Drosophila melanogaster: one gene and its partners. Changing the gene in region 3 together with the main gene of any one other region gives a genetic interaction. Each region holds a gene or a part of one and is shown on either strand. Other genes may lie near its edges.

Evidence for each region.
Region 1: of Ptth (region 3) and tsl, changing one enhances a phenotype caused by changing the other (phenotypic enhancement), as found in Drosophila melanogaster (one study listed by BioGRID).
Region 2: of Ptth (region 3) and trk, changing one suppresses a phenotype caused by changing the other (phenotypic suppression), as found in Drosophila melanogaster (one study listed by BioGRID).

Annotation. Positions count from the first base shown.
Region 1 is NT_033777.3:21,776,688-21,785,307, forward strand, and holds tsl (torso-like), read right to left. Parts: upstream 5,850-8,620; 5' UTR 5,797-5,849; exon of another isoform or gene 5,301-5,796; intron 5,219-5,300; exon of another isoform or gene 5,031-5,218; intron 3,097-5,030; 5' UTR 3,075-3,096; coding exon 2,865-3,074; intron 2,517-2,864; coding exon 1,665-2,516; 3' UTR 1,427-1,664; downstream 1-1,426. Other genes in the region: CG6800 (uncharacterized protein), read left to right, coding at 1-89, 152-302, 355-526; Polr1H (RNA polymerase I subunit H), read right to left, coding at 602-626, 691-910, 962-1,079.
Region 2 is NT_033779.5:10,269,671-10,274,993, reverse strand, and holds trk (trunk), read left to right. Parts: upstream 1-2,669; 5' UTR 2,670-2,784; coding exon 2,785-3,492; 3' UTR 3,493-3,537; downstream 3,538-5,323. Other genes in the region: Utx histone demethylase, read left to right, coding at 1-60, 126-829, 889-1,028, 1,112-1,531, 1,588-1,797, 1,872-1,998, 2,088-2,282; Mulk (Multi-substrate lipid kinase), read right to left, coding at 3,538-4,545, 4,600-4,720, 4,782-4,879; CG4957 (uncharacterized protein), read right to left, coding at 5,121-5,231, 5,286-5,323.
Region 3 is NT_033779.5:574,184-579,817, reverse strand, and holds Ptth (prothoracicotropic hormone), read left to right. Parts: upstream 1-2,921; 5' UTR 2,922-3,217; coding exon 3,218-3,304; exon of another isoform or gene 3,305-3,413; coding exon 3,414-3,737; intron 3,738-3,795; coding exon 3,796-4,041; 3' UTR 4,042-4,107; downstream 4,108-5,634. Other genes in the region: Pph13 (PvuII-PstI homology 13), read right to left, coding at 568-1,334, 1,398-1,663, 1,785-1,825; cold (coiled), read right to left, coding at 4,582-4,674, 4,728-5,038, 5,120-5,177.

The DNA of each region.
Region 1 (8,620 bases), on a different chromosome or scaffold from region 3:
GCCTCAGGTCTCAACCCGGTGGTATCGAGCGCCAGAGATTCTATTTGGCAGCCAGAAGTATGGAACCGGAGTGGATATGTGGGCGGCAGGTTAGCCATGACTCTTTGATGGGTTTACATATATCCTTATGGCTGACATTATTGCTATCCAGGTTGTGTTGTGGCGGAGATGCTACGCGGAGTGCCCCTGTTTGCGGGAACCACCGACATCGAGCAATTAGCCATCATCATTCGCACTCTGGGCAGCCCACGTCTGAATCAGTGGCCAGAGCTGACTTCTCTGCCGGATTACAGCAAGATACGGTAGGCATTCTTACCGTCTATGATTACTTAATCCGTAATATTCTTGACGTAGGTTTCCCAACTCCGTGGGCATTCACTGGGACAACTTGTTTCCCAGCTGCACACATGCGGTGGAAATCAATCTGGTCTCGAATCTGGTGGTCTACAATCCCAAAAACCGACTCAAGGCCAGCGAGGTGGGTTCTGCTTCAAGTTTGACACCGGTTAGGTATTATAATTGGTAAATTCTATATTTCTCAGGCCGTCGAGCATGATTATTTTCATTAATCTAGGACTATTTACACGGACATTGCTAGCAACTAAGAGTTTTCGGATTCTTTGAATCTGCAAGGTAGAATGTGTGTGATTAGTTGTGGAAGTGAAGGAATATGTTTATCAGGACACCTACTTGCACTTAAGGCAGGTAAAGAACACCGTCTGGCCTTCGTCCGCCGATCGAAGCTGCAGGGTGGCATAGGACATCTTGTCGTGGTTGCACTTGGGACACTTCCTCTCCACAACGGGGCCATCCGCGTCCGATTCCGACTCCCTTTTCGTCCTGTTGAACACCTTGCTGGGATCGTAGGTGTTGAAGTGTATGGTAAACTCGGACTTCTCGCCGCTGTAAACTATTTTTAAGTGTTAAATAAATTAAACAAAGTTGTAATTTCTGGATTTACCATCTGGCTGAAACTCCTTCTTGCAGTTGTAGCAAATCACATTGCCCTTGACTTGAAGCTCGGGCAGAATGGAGCCGCAGGAGGGGCAAAAGCCCGGACAATTGGAAAAAATATCCATGCCAGTATATATCACCCAAAATCAAAATCAAAATACAAAAACCGCACGTGCTATTTCGGATTTCAGTATGAGCGTAACTGAACCGTTTGAAATATACCACACGGTATTAAAAATATACTTGATTCATATACTAAATACGTAAGGGTGGAAAACTAGAATAAGTCTGGTTGAAAGCCTTGATGAAACGGGTAGAGCCGTTTACCCGTTTCGATTACCGGTTCTTAATCAAAATCAATTATTCAAAATAAACTTTCAAAATAGTATTTGATATTCATAGCCAATATTACGTAATGAAAACAGTTAGATTTTAATAGCCAATATCAAGTTATGAAAACAGTAAGATTTTTACTTTTATCTTTACTTTGTATTAAAGTTTACAAAACTATTACATCAATAAGGCGATCTTACGGTCTAGTTAGCTGAAATGCAAGTCGGATGTGTACTGTGTTCCAATTAAACTACCTAAAACTATCACAGGCAGAACATTAACTACGCACTAGAGGTTCCTAACTACAACTAAGCATCTAGGAACTATTGATCCTTGGCTGCCACATATCGCACAGTATATATATATTTAAAATGCAGCTATCGGGTGGGATGACTCTGCGGCATGTTAAGCTCCCAGAGCTTCACATTGTTGTCGAGAACCTCGTGGTACCAGCTCTCCTTTTCCGGCTCCTCCCGGAAGATGGGCTTCAGCGACTTGAGGTCCAACTGCAGTATGGCATCGTTGCCGAGCAGCGAGTCCAGGGATCGCAGTAGAGTACTATTACCGTGCAGTTTCAGCAGGGTCACATACTTGACCACATAGTACTCGTACTGCAGCTTCCTTCTCGCCCATCTTTCCACTGTAGCATTGGCACTAGCCGATCGAATCTGGCCCAGATGGGCGGCAAACCAGGGCGCAAAGTAGTTGTAAAGATCCAACTTGGACAGTCCGTTCAGACCTTTACTCTTGATTCGCTCCTTGATCATGCTGTAGTTCTTCCTGCTGTACACAAACACCTGATACAGCGAATTGCCGGTGGTGTATGAGTTTACGTAGTGGGTGCCCACATCTTCCATAAATCGCACTGCGGAAGTTATATTTCCGATTTGCAGTTGATCCATTCTCGATCGCACATCCGGCTCCAAGGGTTGGTGCACCGGAATCTCAGCGTTAAGACGCCCCGTTTCCCTGAAGCGCACCACCCTCACCAAAACATACGAGTAATCGCCTTGGATGAAAGATGTATTGATGCCCAGCTTCTTGGCCGCATTATCCGGAAACCATCCGCCAGTAAATGCCTCCCACGGTTTGTCCATTCGCTCAATGGAAAAGTCACGGAAGTAGGCCTGGAACAGTTGCCTCCGATTCTCGCAGAACTCCATGTGAAAGTCTCCATGAAAGATTCCGGGCGTGGTGTCTTCATGACTCTCCGCCAGGCCACTCAGATTCTGAAAGAAAAAAATCATTAATTATCTAATTGTCTAGTCAGCTCAATTATCAGGTAATAAATATCAAGTGACATACTTGAATAATCGTATATAATGATCGTTTTCCTAAATCTGATCAAACAAATATAATAAGCGCTCATTCTAACGACAAACGTGGCGGAAGTGAACAATATAATTACAACTAAAAATAGTTTTAAGTGATAACAACTTTAAACCCTATTTTAAAATTTTGATTATACTCCAAATAATTATGGTGATTGTGGTTAAAGGTTAATACAAACAATTCCGAGTTCATCAACGCCATTTAATTTATTAAATGTAAGCTTAACTCTGCCTTAAGTCCCTTACCCTATAGATGTTTTTGGTGGGCTCCTTAAACACCCAGCGATCCGGCTCCGAGTTGTCATTGAGCGGTATCACACGCATGGAGATTCCCAGGTAGCCATAGCGCAGGAATATATTGATGGCCTTGCCGATCCGGAGCTGGGACTCGCGACGACCTCCATCCGCCAGGAGCGCCAGGGTCAGCAGCCAGAAAAGGCCAGGCCACGACCGCATCGCTCAGCATTCAAGGTTAGATCTATAGAGGATTATAATAGAAATATTATATTGCAAATTTAAAGCGATTACACTTGAATTAGGCAAACGTTTCCATATTCCATATCCATATAATCCCTTGCTATAAAATATTATTGATTGAAACAAACGCAACCTATTCCGATCTCTTATAAAATTCGCAATTTAACAATAATGAGGCATATCTATCCCACAATAATTTATTCAAGTGACTAGATAACTCTTGATTGCAATGTGCATATTGATGACAAGCAAGTACAAACAGCGCTATACCATCCGAACTCATTACTCACTTAGACTAAAACCGGAAAGTTTTACAGCAAGCTACTTCGGTGGTTTGTTTATATTTTATAGCCAGTGCAGTAGTTGCGATACAGTGGGGTTAACTAAACAGCAATAATTGCAGGGCCGCCGTGTTTGTTTTCCACTCCATAAACGGGCGATAATATAAGCGCGCTCTAATTGGCCATGAACCTTCAGTGGCGCTGAACTTGAACCGACCAAGTCGACTTGGGTAGAGGCCACCAGCTGGTGGTGATGATGAGCTGGAGCTCTGCGTAGCTCCACTCTGATCACCTTAAGTGGATGCAATTAGCCGCAGGCTCTGTGGCCGTAAAAGCAGCTACAAAGTATAGCCATCAAAATTGGTTCGGCTGTCGCTTTGACTTGCAAATTATTTCCTAAAAACATTTTGCATGCCTCGTAACCGTTTTCCTATAGTTGGCCCACTACACTTCAGAGGACCGGTTATGCCGTTTTTGTTTTTTTTTTTTTTTTTTTCTGTCCAAGCATTATGGCCGGCAAGGAAGCCAAACAAATTGGCCCAAGCCAGACATATACACACATTCTAACAGCTTGGCGAGGCAGCTTTTAATTCGAGCCGTTATCACAGAACGAGCGACGTGTTTGATGGGCCAAAAACACAGAGGTTAGCCGGGTGTTAGCCACGTTTGTGAGTCACACCTGTCGACCCGACGCACTGAAGCGCAGCACCAGACAAAAAAAAAACACAAACGCAGCCATGATGAGACTCAAATGTTAACCATTTACGTGAACCATAAAATGTAGGCGTCGCTAAACTTGTCCAGCAGCAAAAACTAAACAAAAAACAGCAGGAAGAGTGACTGAATGAAACTAGCCGTGAATGGAACAAAGAAAAAGAGACATTTGACTACTGCATCTTGTCTATACTTGCCTATAGTACATATATTACTGCCCATGGGCGCGATTCCAGGAAATATTTGTTTGCACATTTTATAAACACATGAATATTTGCTAAATGCTGCAATCAGCTGTCTTGACCTTACAGATGAACCTCACAGATTGCAATCACTCTACGGATTTAAACATTCTGACTCGGCATAGAATACGATTTCGAAGGCTTCCAACTTCTGGCAAACAACTAATGCCCAAATGAGCTTAGTTCTCCATCGCGAGACCCAGAAAATCAAACTGTCGCACAATTGCCAAACTTGAGGTTCAAAATTTGAGATCCGCTTGAAAGGCATGTGTTATGTGACTTAATGATAGTTAGTTTTGTCGGTGGGGGTATTGACAATAGCGGACGCATAACCTTGTGCAAAAGACCCCAAAAAAAAAAAGAAGCCGCGAACCGGAGTTCGAGATGAAGAAGACGAATTAAATCAAAAATTCAATGCGCGCACTCGGACTCCAAAGCAAAGGCAACTAAAAATCAACTCGTTCAACTGTGACTCCCTGTGCACTGGGAGAAAAGAGTGTGGCTATCTAGGACTAGAACTGAATAAGAGAAGAATCAGTCAGCTCTTAACTCCTCTTTTGAGCTATTTGGAATCTTATTCCAATTGTTTATGCTTTTATCAGATTTAAATCGTTATTAGATTTGTTATTTGGCCTATATTTATCCAATAAGATTTTATAATGTGTATTTTTCTTGGACATCCTAAAAAACCTGCATACATTTCTCTCAGTGCTTCCCACCGTGGTTGTCCGCGGCCCAGTCAATTGGAGATTCTTTATGCGCATTTCATGAGCTCTTTTGTGGTAGTAGTCTGGAGTAAACCCCGGGCGAAGGGCACAGACGTGGGGCATAAGGTCTGCAGTTTATATCGCGCTTAATTTTATGCTTGGTCCGTGTGCGTTGTTTCCTTGAGCGGTGTTAAACAAAAGTTGTCTTGACTGCTGCTGAGGTGCTGCTGCTTTTGCCACTTTTGTGGTAGTATTATTTACCTGCACGAGAACTCGAACGCGAATCGAAATTGACGTAACCATCGGCCAGAAGCGGCTTGTTTTATTTTCGGCAGAAGCTTGAAGCTCCGGCTAATTCTATATGCCAGTCGACACAAATCCGCAGGTCTAGAGTTGTGGCTCGCCACTGGTTAGCCTTATCGCTCTGATACCGGGGGCCATTGCACAAGGCTGGTTGGCTGGCTTTATGGCTGGCATTAGCATCGTTAAGACTCCGATTTTTAACGCTTTGTGGGTCAGAGGTCGGCGGCTTGGTTGGCGCCCTCAAGTGATAAGACGGATCTATGAATAGATCGCTGTGGTTCGAATTACATGCGTTTGCGCAGATTTCAACAACCAACAACGTACACACACACACACACAGGCAGTCGTCAAGTACCCTGAACGGCAAACACTAAAACAGACTTAAAACACACTAAAACGAGCGACGACGTGCCTTCAATTGCAATTATAAGCCGGAATTTGCGGCAGCACTTACACTCAAAACGCGAGCAGCACACCTTCAAGCGCGAAGACTCAAAACCTAACTGAAACTGGCTACCAAAAACTCGATCGCCGGAGAGAACAAGCCGATCCGTTCAAGCAGCTACAGCAGCAGCAACAATATATGTTGCGCTACGACAGCAACATGTTGCTGCTGTGCGTCGTGTCGTCTGATCCAACCGAGCAACTGGCAGCAGTTGCAGTTCAATGACTGGCAGCCAGCAGAAGTTCTACTCCTCCAACGGTAGTGGCTATGGCTAATGCTAATGGCCTGGCACAAATATCTATTGTTGACATCTGCCGTTTGGGGGGACAGCTTTTCCGCTTATTAATATTTCCGAGCACGTCGTTCAACTTCCAGTTTTCTTCAATGGCGCGGGGAGTCGGAGGGCTGCCGAATCGAGGCAGATTGAAATGATTGCAGTTTACCCGGGCCAGACTTGCGCAAGATTCCCATAGAACTGGGCGGCCAGTAATCAAAAACTTTTGGTACTACTTGTGCAAAAAAAAAACTAATAATGAGACCAAAAGTAAGCCGAAAAATAAAAACGAAAACGAAAGTATCAAATTCGCATTACCTTGAAAACATGCTAACAAATTTGGGTCAACTCAAAGTGTTGGGCGACAACGTTTGAAGTTCGAGTGTAATGTTTCAATTAGAAGCTCAAGATACAAATGTATCTGTATCTGTATCTGTTGCTCAAAGAGCCATGGCTGCAGGGCATCCGCTTTGTCGCATTTGCCTTGACTTCCAATGGCCATTGGGAATTTCTGCAAAATTCGCTGCTGGCTTCTAAGAAATGAAAAGGTTCTGATTTGAAGTCTTTTTTTGCTGCTGATATGGGGGGGGGTCTTTCTTTTGGAAGAGGCGTTGGGGGAAGGGCTTCCGAAAAGTATTGCAAAAGCTGGTTGAAATTGTATCTCTCGTATATTTTTCTCTTTTCATATATAGAAGTTCATTTTATTACTTTTGTTTCGGTTTCTGTGTGGGTTTTGCTTTGTCTTTGCAGCATGCATGATTCAAAACTTATGTATTTAAAATTCGGTATTTCAGTGTTTACTCGTTTTTATTTAATTCTCATTCCAGTTTCTTCGGTTCTTTTTCATTTAATTTATTATTATTAATCCCATGTTTAAACTATGTATATATAATGACATTTTTATCATTTATTTTAAATGATATTTACTAACACCGCGGCCTTCTGCGCCCCAAACGATCGATCGATCTGCCGATCCATTCATTTCACTTCATTTATTATTATAATAACAATTCACTCAATTAGCTCAAATCGCGTCAATCTACACATATTGACATTGGAGATCATAAGCATTTTCAACTCATCTTTACCATCGTTACCCTCGGTATCATATCATCATCATAATGATCATTGACTTATGAAATTAGAGAAAAATTCTAATTCATTTGGTTTACGCGACCGTGTTCATCTCACTTCTGCGTCTTCCTTTTCTTTTTTTTTTATGTAATATCAACAATAAATTTTTACTTAATCTTAGTGTGAAATTATTCTTAGAGTACAGCTACAATCTGCTCGCATCGGCTAAGAAAAAAGGATCAAGTAAAAGTACGAAACGAATCATTCGAAATCCTAGCTCAATCTCAGGATACTCTCTGTCGGTATCGTTTTCTTTTTTTACCCCCCATTTCCAATTCATTTCAATCGTTCCTAATCATTGTAATACCGTAAAATATAAGATTTTGATTTGAGCATTCTTTTCCTAATCATTTCATCGATTTTTGGTGTTTTCTGGCACACTTAGCCTGGTTGGGGGAGCTTCAAAATGTACATACATCTATCTCAAGCCGTGTCATCTATAAGGTTCCTCCTCCTATCTGATCTCATCTCATCTCATCTCGTCTCGTCCGTTCGTTCAATCTATCGTTCGCTTTAAGGTATAATACTTAGTTAATTTGGCCACTTGGCTGCATTTGTGGTTGTGGGTAGGTAGTTAGTTCTTCAGTTTTTCGGGTAGGTTCGGTTGTTCTTCTTTTTTGGGATACTTCTATGATTTGCATTGCCTCTCCTTAACTTCATCGCTGCTATCTTCATCTCATCTTCATCCACGCTCAGAACCGAAAAGTTATAGCCCAGCGTCTAACGATAATACTCTATGCAAAATTGTTCAACCATTTTGAAACCATAGAATTGTTCTGGATATAAGTATGTTCTTCAACTTGTGTGGTGTGCGGTTGGGAAATTCAAGTGGGTCGTGTGGTTGGGCTCGAATATAAGCTCAGGCTTAAATTGTTTTGAGGGACAGCTAGAGAATTGTGTGGCACGTGTATACAAATGTGTGTTGGTTAACTACTAAGTTCGATCTCCAGTGTTTGTGACATATCTTCGATCCGATCCTAACCCAAAGTAACTACGTGTTCTTGGGACTCATCAACTACATGTAGTATGTGATTGCTTGTGAACTTCGTAGACGTAGTCTAAATTCTGTTTCTGTTTCGTCCATCTCAGAAGCTCTATGTTAGGGAAGCTAATTCAAAATTACCAATTTTCTTTCGAAACTGAATATCTCCCATGTGGGGGCTACAGTGAGGGAAAAAGCGGAAATACTGAGCGCTGGTTGCTGATCATGAAGCTGCACTAAAAAAAATGCCAGGTTTCTTCATTGCTAAGACAGTTTGTCGGTGTCATTGTAAAGTATCTCGAAAATTTGAAGCTGCTGCTTGCTTGGGTGGTTACTGGGCCAGTGGGTTTACGATTAATTCAATTCAATTCAATTCAATGCAAAGCGACTTAGGATCTTATTCGATTCGATTCGGTTTTGGGTCTCCTTGTTGAGTTCTCGTT
Region 2 (5,323 bases), 9.7 Mb from region 3:
GCACAAGCCAACAAGAAGTAACACAAAACAACAGTCAGACATCAGCGCAAAATCTAATAAGTAAGTGACCAATTTAAATAGTATATATCTTAAAGTATTAAATCACTTTTTAACACTCCAAACAGACATTTCGGAATCTTTAAACCAGCGCAACTTCAACGCCATGCCGGAGAGCAACAAAAGTTCGGAGCAAAGTGTTCTTGACACCTTCGACGACATCTCGAATGATATTTATAAACAGAATGAGAGCATCAAGCTCGAACGTTTGAGCCAGGATGCACTGAGTAACAATGAGGACTCGAGGCATGATTTTATTGGCGGTGACAACGCCGACATCTCGACCACGTTCAAAATACAAATGGACTCGAAGCAGTTGATGGTAGCTGTGAAGCTGCTGCCGATTGATGAACCGCCCGTGCACTGTACCATTTTGCAAGTGAATGCGCCGCCGCCATCTCCGCCCGATTGCCCACCGCAGAAACTGACGCGAGATCAACTCCTGCCTCCCACACCCTCTGTTCATTTAGAAAATAAGAAGCACGCGTTCAGCCCACAGTTGCAGGAGTTTTGCCTGAAACATCCGATTGCCGTTGTACGCGGCTTAGCGGGCGTCTTGAAGCTAGATCTCGGTCTCTTTTCGACCAAAACGTTGGTGGAAGCCAACCCGGACCATAGTGTTGAGGTTCGGACACAAGTGCACCAGTCTCCCGATGAAAATTGGGACACTTCGCAGGGTAAGCGCGTCTGGGCCTGCATTTCCCATCGGTCTCACACAACCATAGCCAAATATGCCCAATATCAGGCATCCAGTTTTCAAGACAGCTTGAAGGTAATGTTCGTTGGGTTGGTTCCTCTTTAACATGAATACAAGTTTACTTTATCGTGTAGCTTATTTTACCGCAGGATGAAAGCGATAAAGGTTTCCCCGGCTCGCAAGCAATGTCGGATTCAGACTCAAAGGACTCGGTATCCAATTCGAACATTGTTCTCAAACGTAAAAAACACAAAATAAACAGCAAAATGTTGAGGTAATAGAAACTCCAAACCATTTATGTCTGCATTACGAACTTTATGAACATAAATTAAATGCTTATTTCGCTTTTTTTTTTAGGTTCGGGACCAACGTGGACCTCTCCGATGAAAAGAAATGGAAACCACAATTAACAGAGCTACAAAAACTGCCAGCTTTTGCGCGAGTTATATCCGCTGCCAATATGCTATCACACGTGGGCCACGTCATTTTGGGCATGAACACCGTTCAGCTGTACATGAAGGTGCCCGGAAGTAGGACGCCTGGCCACCAAGAGAACAACAACTTCTGCTCAATCAACATCAACATCGGTCCTGGCGACTGTGAATGGTTTGCCGTCCCTGACGCCTACTGGGGCGGAGTTCACAATCTTTGCGAGAAGAACAACATTAGCTATCTGCACGGCTCGTGGTGGCCCGTCCTGGAGGATTTATACAAGGAGAATATACCAGTTTATAGATTTATACAAAAGCCCGGTGACTTGGTTTGGGTGAATGCCGGGTAAGCACTGAATATGAAAGGAAGGATGATGTATTAACAATCAAACCTACTTTCAGATGCGTCCATTGGGTTCAGTCGATCGGTTGGTGCAACAACATTGCGTGGAATGTTGGACCCTTGACTGCCCGTCAGTATTCTCTTGCCATCGAGCGATATGAGTGGAATAAAGTGCAGGCCTTCAAGAGCATTGTGCCGATGGTGCATTTAAGCTGGAATCTTGCAAGGAATATTAAAGTGTCTGATACCAAACTTTTCGAGCTGATAAAGTGAGTTAGCAAATGATAGGAATCACCATTATGCAGATACTATAGGGCATACATATGTAATTTGTAATTTTCAGAATGTGTTTGCTGCAAACGTTGAAAAACGTATTGCACATACAAGAGTATGTCAAATCGAAAGGTGTGGAAATACGTTTCAATGGACGCGGAAAGAACGAAGCATCCCATTACTGCGGACAATGCGAGGTATTTAGCGTAGTATTATTAACATATTTATACAGTTTCCAAAGGTGATATGAATGCAGTTTATTTAATCATTTGTGCACTCTTTGCAGGTTGAGGTTTTCAATGTGCTGTTCATCAAGGAGCAGGAGAAACGACATGTGGTCCACTGCCTATCGTGCGCGCTGAAGCTATCTCCGTCGCTCCAGGGAATCGTTTGCCTGGAGGAGTATCGTCTGTCTGAGCTGCAGCGCGTGTACGATTCGTTTACTTTACACAGAACCCAAGGACTAGCATACACTCAGTAGTTGTAATACGAGGAATCATTTTAAGTAATGCAGATTTAATATATGTATATTTTACAACGTACAATATACTCTCTATTGTTTTGATAAAACATAACGGTACGAATATATAGAGATGGGATTTTTCGAATAAAGCCATCAGAGCAGTTTTTTCGGCTATTATGTTTGATAGTCGAAAAAACTGGAGCCCACTTGAGTAGCGAAACTTACCTTATGATGACAATTTTATTATGACTTCAAATATTTAGACCCATCTTTTATAGTTTAATTTAAAAAAAAAAACTTTAAATTTATCCAAAGTTTAGAATGCGTTTTAATTATATATATGAATAAATTTAATTTATAATCTTTCGCAATGACACTGAAATTAAAATCCTTCTTTTTATTGAATTGGCTGTTATTACTTTAGTACCTAAATAAGTTACAGTGTAGAGAGCAACGATAACTGCTGTAAACACGATAAATCAATTGGTTGATATTGGTGTAGCCCTGTTTTTAGCCAGCCATGTTTCTGCGTATACTGTGTCCAACTATGAAATCCCAAAGTGAACTGGCCATTGTGCTCACTTGGTTGGCAGTGCTGGGGACGGCTCAAGATGATGCCGATTACTGCGCCGAGCTATCCACGCAGTCGCTGGCCAAAATTCTGGGACAGGCATTTAATCCGCGCTACATGAGCATCGATCCGCCGGGCGAGCCCGAGGAGAAGAGCTATCATCTGGGATACAAGCGATCGTCGTACGAGCTGCCCTTCTATGCGGACAGTGATGCGATTTCGGTTAGCCACTTTCCCGCCTGGGAGACCAACCACTTTGCGCTGGTAGAGAAGAAGAAGGAGGCACCGAGGAGCAAGAGTCTGCGCACGAGAAGCGCCTTCATGGATCGTGTGGGACATCCGAGAATCGATGGGTTCAAGCAGCGGCCGTGGGAGTGCTCGTCGAAGATCAACTGGATTGACTTAGGCTTAAATTACTTTCCACGCTATATCCGTTCGATCGAGTGTATTGCCAGAAAATGTTGGTATGATCACTTTAATTGCAAGCCAAAATCATTTACAATAAAAGTACTGCGCCGTAAAACTGGCTCATGCATTCGAATAAACGATAAATTGATTTTGATCACCGCAGAGAAGTTTGAGAATGATTATACGCAGCTCTGGATTTGGGAAGAAATAGCGGTTAACTTTTGCTGTGAATGTGTTATGCTATACTAGTAGCGCCATTTAATCAAGATTTAATTAATATACACGTTTAAAATGTCAACAAAAAACTTTAATAGCATTGGGAACAACAGATACCTTAATGGGTCTTGCATCGTACTCCTCGCCATCGATGGAGTAAAACTTCTCGCCCATTTCACCATCCGGATGCAGTTGAATAGTCCTGCTCTTAACCACCAAGCTGGGTAAAATTTTGCTGCACGTGACTTCCGGAATTTGTTTGATAAACTCCCAGCCCGGCTGCAGGGAGCTTATAAACTGACTTTCCAGCTCCGCAAAGTTATCCTTGTTCTGAACACAATTGATGTTAATCTGGCTGGCTTCAGCGCTTCCCTCGAACTTCTTGCTGCAATTGTCGTTCTTGACGAGCGGCCTCTTGGTTTCACCCGGATTATTCTTGTACTTAATGAGGCCTCTGGTGAAGAGGCCAGAAGGCTGGGCGGTCTCCTGGCGCTGCACAGTAGCAGCACAGTCAACGCAGCCAGGACACGGCGGTGTGTACACATAGTCGGTCTTAAGGCTCCAGTTATCGGCAAAGGACTTGGACGCAGCGGAAGCGTAGTGTCGCAGTGGTCCAAAGTACCAGTACTTATCCTTTGCCGCATCGATGTCCTCCAGCAGACCCCAGGACAGACCATTAAGACCGAATATGGGCTTCAATTGGCTATTGCTGCCATCTTCTTCATTGATCACATCAAAGCGGATCACACTCTGGTACTGGCTCTCATCCTTGAGCATAGGTTCAAGGGCTTTCGAAAGACTTTTCACATAGTCGACGTCCTTGACGCCAAAGATGTTGATGCGCTTGGATGCGGACTGCACCGAACGTCCCAGCGGAAGGATGGTGATCGGGCAGAGATTGCCGCGCCTACGCATCAGCCCAGTGACCACCTCCGATGAGGTGCCGTCGCCGCCGGCAACAACAATGGCATCGGGTAGCGTTGCCAACTCCTCCACGTAGGTTTTGGCATGACCAATGTGATTCGTCCGAAGGATCTCCACCGAATATCCAGCTAAATGCAAAACCGGCTCGCAGTAGTTCTTAAACTGAAAATCTATGGCTGGGTTATCATCTTAGTCAGCTGTGTGCCAGCTACTTACAAACTTCTCCGATCTCTTCTTGTTGGCCACCGGATTCATGACCACCAGTACCTTTTTGGGGCGATCCGATATCCAGTTGGCCTGAATGTTGGAGGCGAATTCCCGCATATGTTGTTCAATCCTGGAGAGCAAATAAGGGGGTTAAAGTTGCGTCAAATTTTCACGGTTTTCTGAATGCATACTCGATGTGAGTTTTCAGCGCTTGCAGCGCGTACACAGATACTGCCGCTCCGAACGTGCATTTCTTCCAATTATTCCGAATTACTCTTAAATAATTCATATTTTCAATTTCGACCGATGATTTTGATTCCACATGTATTGGTTTGGCCGCACACAAACAGCTGGATTTTAGATCGTCAAGGGTATTCCAGCCAGTTTACATAAGCTTTAAAATAACAGAAACGTTTAGCGCTGAAACGGGAACACTGAAAATTGCACACTCTGTTACTTAACAGTGTATCTTAATCAGTTAGAAACAAATTTATTTATTCAAGTTTAAACTCAACGTTTTATTCAACAAGTCATTTTTGTTCCACATTGTCATAGATATCCTCTAAGCCTGGGAGGTTTCTCAGTTTTTCTACAAAAACATCATAGGTCTTTTGCTCTTCGGGTGATAATTGCACTACATTCTGAAAGATAATACTATTTAGATAAAATGAAATTGAATGAAATGAATGATTTACCATTGGTGAAAATATGTGTTCACTGTTTTCCACGGTGT
Region 3 (5,634 bases):
GGAAGCCGAAATCCATTCAAATCGCACAACTAGCTTGCCTCTAATCCGAGCCACAAATAAGGCGTGTGCAGAGGGTAGGGGACGTGGCAGGGGCGTAGGGGGGGGGGGTTCCTTTGTTTGGCACACACATGCGGAATCCATAGAAGCTATGGCTGAGCCTGGCCAGAAAAGGTACCCGTGCTCGTAGTCAAGGACCCGTTCCGTTCCGTTTCGTTTCGATTCGATTCGAATGTTTCGAAATTCACAAATGTACACTACGAAAAATATTCTTTTTCAACAATTCTCGTTGTTTTCAAATGTTATAAACTTACAGGTTCTCTTTATGTAAACCACTTTGCTATTTATCAAGACACATTTCCAGGACTAAAGTAATACAACTTCAGATAAACTAGTATTTAGTACTAAAATTTTTGTAAGTTAACCATCCAAATATTTGTAGTCAAGTGTGGCGACCTTGTTGGGTCTTGAACTTAGACATTAACATTGACTAGAAAACAAGAATATAACTAGAGCAGGTTTCGCACTTCAGTTTACCGCTGAGAAACTGAGAATTCGCCTAAGTTGGATTCACATGACATCGCCAGTGATGACACCACCGCCCACTGGGCCGCCCTCATGCTGGTGATGATGCAGTTGCTCCACGAGATCAGCGATTCCTTCCACGCCTATGCTCAAAGAGGGCAGCGACTTGTCCAGCACCAAAAGAGAGGGAGGCGACTTGGGCTCACCCTCTTCCATGCCAAAGGAGGACATGCCAATCCCGTCCAGGCACAGTTCATTGGATGATCCGACCAGCTGGGAGTGACCGCCGTAGGCCTGCATCTGGGACTGCTCCATGCTCAGAATGCAGTCCGCCTTGAAGCTGTCGATCGTGAACTGGTCCACGTCCACGCTGAGAAACTTCATCTCGTCGTAGGCGGAGGAGCCATCGGTCATGTCCAAACTCAATGAGGCGGCAAACTCAAGCCCCGGATGAAGCTGGGGATTGTGCTGCTCCTGCTGGTGCTGCTGCTGCTGCTGCTGGTGATGACTCGAACTCCCGGCGTGAATCGGATCGGATGCATGCTGTTGAGGCGGGTGCTGCTGGAGCTGATTGTCGGAGTCCATCTGCGGGTGTGTCTGCGCTTGCGTTTGCGGAGGATATGTGGACCACTCCATGGAGAGGCCACTGCCACCCCGCTCCAGTCCCAAGTGGTCAATGTTGAGGTTGAGAAATATATTCGGTGACAGCCTAGAGGGCGACATGGCCCCCGTGCCGTAGGAGGCCTTAAGTTCGTTATCAAGGGAGTTCGAGGATTGCGGTGGGGTGTCCGGCAATAGAGTTCCACCGCCGCCTGAAATCAATATGGGTCATTACTAGCGATGGGTTGATAGGTAACAGAGATATCCTTTCTTACCCAGCGCACTATCCAGTTGGCCCAGGACGGCGCTGTCGTCGTAGGACACGTCGAGATCCAACGCACCCTCCTTATAATCTCCGCCAAGCCCACCGATCTTCTCCTGCTTGCGCCACTTGGCCCGCCGGTTCTGGAACCACACCTGCACCCTCGCCTCCGTCAAATCGATCCTCACGGCCAGCTCCTCTCGGAAAAACACGTCCGGATAGTGTGTCCGCTGGAACGCCCTTTCCAGCTCCTGCAGTTGCAGTGTGTTAAATGTGGTTCTGCGGATCATTAGGAAAACTAGTGTTAGTGCACCTATAGCTTTAGTAGATACTTATGAAACTAGTCCAGTTTTTGGATTTATACCGCGATATATGTACATTTCGAATGTATCTGCTATACCTGTATCTCCGCTGCTTGCGCTTCATTGTGCCTTTGTCCATGCGAATCCTGAGCTTCCTGTTGGTGAACGTTGACGTTGGCGGAGTGGGTGGCGAGTAGTGGCCACTGAGGTGTGGATCCCGCTCAATCTCAATATCTCCCTCAGCGAGGATGGGGCTCTTCAAGCGCGTCGTGACATAGTCGCCGTGTGTTTTTCTATTTTTTAACGATTTTCGTCGACACTTCGAGGGCTTCGCGTCGCTGCTTCTTCTCGCTTTTCCGCTTCGACAAATTCCACGGCGGAAAAACTGCACAACAACAACGGCGAAAGCACGGATGAAGTCTTTGGAGACAGGCAGCTGCGGAGCTCAGCATAAGTCGCCCACCAGCGGAATCTGCATCTCCTCCGCTCCTGGTTTTTTATTCTGATTCCGATTCCAAGTCCCGACTTCCCTTGCTCGAACCTATGTAGCTGCTGATGGCTAAGCGATGTCAGATTGTCCAGCTGTGCATGTCCAACCTTGTGGCACGGGCACTGTTCTTGCCTCGACGACGCGAATTCGACTGAGGAGGATTTTGGATTTCCACGGGGAACAGTGACAGTGCGTGCTGTCCGTCGACAGAAGCCGTAGAAGTCGACCACAGTCCACTGGCACTCGCACACTCGCGGGCTCCCTACGAACAGGGGTATATACTATGTGCCTAAGAGGTCTGACCCGGTCTAGCCTCTTGGACAGTCGTTCTAGCCGGGCTTGTTATGCCAGTGGCGGTGCTCCTCACCCAAACTGGCCCAAGTGGGAGACATAGTGAGCTCATAATTTATGGCAACTCATGGTGCCTTCGGAGGATGTGCATAGCTGGAAAATGTTTAAGAATTCTACATAAGACTATAAACCACTATTTTTACCATTCATCTGCCTTTGCACATTATAAAAACAATATTCTTTAAACAAGACCATGAAACGGAAATGTCATCCATTTGGGGGAAATCCGACAAGTAAAATACAATCGGAATTGCATTTCCCACAGCTCCTCACTCAAAAGTATGCTATGGAAAAAGTTTCGGAGCCGTTTCGGAAACCAAAAATCCAGAAACCCACCCTGGTCAACGTTATCGATGGGAGGAGATCGGATTGCCCTTTGCCTCTGCACACATGTCTGGGTCAGTGGGCTTCTTTTGGCTACTCCCACCGCCCAAAGTTCTCCACCTCTGCCGGCACTTGAGGCCTTAAAGCCATTTCCCCCATTGAAGCATTGAAAGCAGCAGAGGAGTATAAATAGCCGAGGGACTCAACCCCATCAGCCGGGCCACTTGAGCTTGGCATGGCTTGCCATTGTTGTGGTGTCAACTGTGGAGTCCATTGTTCCATCCTGTCCAGGTGACGAACCGTAATGGATGCTGCTGCTCTCATCTCTGGCACAAAAGGTAATCCGAGAGGCGGCTTTTGTCCTAAATGGATATAAAAGTATGGCGACTCCTTGGCCAGAGCTGCAGAAGGAGTACAGCGCTGGTCAGGCACAGATCGAGCATGATGCCGTGGGTAAGTTTCATCTGGATGAGAGCCGAAAGATATAGAAACGAAATTACAAAGGAGGGCGCACAAGGATATACTCCGAACTGAATTCATTTTAAAACCCTTCCGTTCCAAGTTGCCCATTTCCATTATGGCAATGGCGCTGCTTAGCCTGACAAATAAAGGAATCGCCAGTCAGTACGCCAGCGATGAAGGTTTGGACGAGATGGTGGGTCTAAGGAGTCTGGAACACCGCGCGGAGGAGCAGCAGCCCGATCGCAGTACATCGAAAATGCTCAGTGCCCTATTCGGATTCAGTCCCAGCACTCCACATCCCACAGAGATGGCGATGGTCATGCCCCATCAGCTGCCGCCCATGTACTATAACGATTTCTATGAGGATCTGGTGACCACCAAACGCAATGATGTCCATTCCGCAGGCTGCGACTGCAAAGTTACGGTTCGTTGGGATACCATTCAGCCGCGTCAGATGTTTATAATTATTTTGTTATTCCCAGAATGAGCTCGTGGATCTGGGTGGTCTGCACTTCCCTCGCTTTCTGATGAATGCCGTTTGCGAATCGGGCGCTGGTCGGGATCTGGCCAAGTGCTCGCATGGATCCAATTGCAGGCCACTGGAATATAAGGTAAAGGTCCTGGCACAGACCTCTCAGTCCGATCACCCCTATTCGTGGATGAACAAGGATCAACCTTGGCAGTTCAAAACGGTCACCGTAACTGCCGGCTGCTTCTGCACAAAGTGATTGAAAGGATGTGAGCAACTATCGTGAATGTGAATTAATTGTATATTAAAGCGCCAAAAAGACGTCAAAGTTGCTTTATTGTGGGAGAGATTCGATATGAAACAGATTGTTATTTTTAAGGCATTCTTTTGATTCTTATATGTAGCTTAATGTTCATGTTTGAGCTTTCTCTTAGATAATTTGTCTAGGATATGTCGTGGATGCAATTCGTATTCATCAGCAAAATTCGAAATAAAGCAATAATCAAAATAGCTCTTGTTGTCATTGATGCACGAGTATAAAAACTGTCCCATAAACGTAAAAAATCTAAAAAACTTGAATCCAGAGAAACAATTTTGTTACAAATAAAATGTAAAGTATTAGAAAAGAAACTTCGCTTCGCAAGGCATCAGGATAGTAAATGGCATTACTTCCCAACTGAGTCAAGGCACTTTGACGGTGTAGTTTTAAATGGAGTGTGGAATCTACTTAGCTTATGGACGGCTTCGTTTAAATAATACAAAAAGCGAAATGTGCTTGGTATAGCAAAGGCTCTTGAGGCTAAGAGCGTGGAATGAGCCAAGATCCAAGTCCTAATAGTGCGGTGAGCAGGGTTAAACAGACACCATAGCCTTGTCTTGAAGGAGCGCCACTCTGTAACAATTCCGATTAGTTGGTAGTCCCAGTTAAATGTACTATCTACCCACAATGACAAAGTAGTTGCACCGATCTCCCTTGCAGCACTCGTTGCACGCCCAATCCTCGTACCAGATGTGGGTGCAGTACAGCTGCATATAGCGCTTCCTCTTGGACTGGCACTGCTCCTTGGTCATGCACCTCTTGGACACGTAGTATTGCTTAAGAGCACCCTCCGAGAAGTACGGCTGGGATCCCCAGCGGATCTCCGTTCCGCAGACGTTTTCAAAGGGCTCGCAGGTCTTGATGGTGTTCAGGCACTTCTCCGTGTTGCCCGTCTGGTTGGAGCAGACATAGCACTCCAGACCGGCCACGAAATTTACTAAAAATATGTTATTTATTCGAGAGGTTCTAAATATTTTAAAGGTGTGGCCCAAAGTCGGGCTTCAAAAATGAAACTTACCTTGCGAACACAAGTAAACAGCGGCGACTAGCACCACAGCTATCTCCCACGATTTCATCGTATATCTGGAGTAATTAACGCAATCGGAGCCGATAAGCTCAAAGTAAATAAACAAGTCAAATTAACAAACAAAACCACTCCCAAAAAAACATTAGCAACAAATTAGAAGAACGCGCGTTCTGCAACACCAACTTCAAGGCGCTTTGCAGCACTAAACATGGCCAAGTGCTGCCACCTGTGGCGCTTGCTTATTAATAACTTTTAAGTGGATAAATAATTGAGAGACACGTTGTTTGAAATATTTATAAACCAAAAAGAATTAATAATAATTTTTTTAACGTACCTAGCTAATAGTTCATTGTCGCCTTGAAATGATTGCATCTTGCTAACATGTTCCCGCCAAAAAGGCCAGACCCTGGCGGGTAGCCAGCCGGTTAGTCATCACTGGTTCAGAGCGGTAAGTGCGCGCTACGTTTTCTGTGCGACATTTGCAAAGGCAATCCGATTGCCGCCTT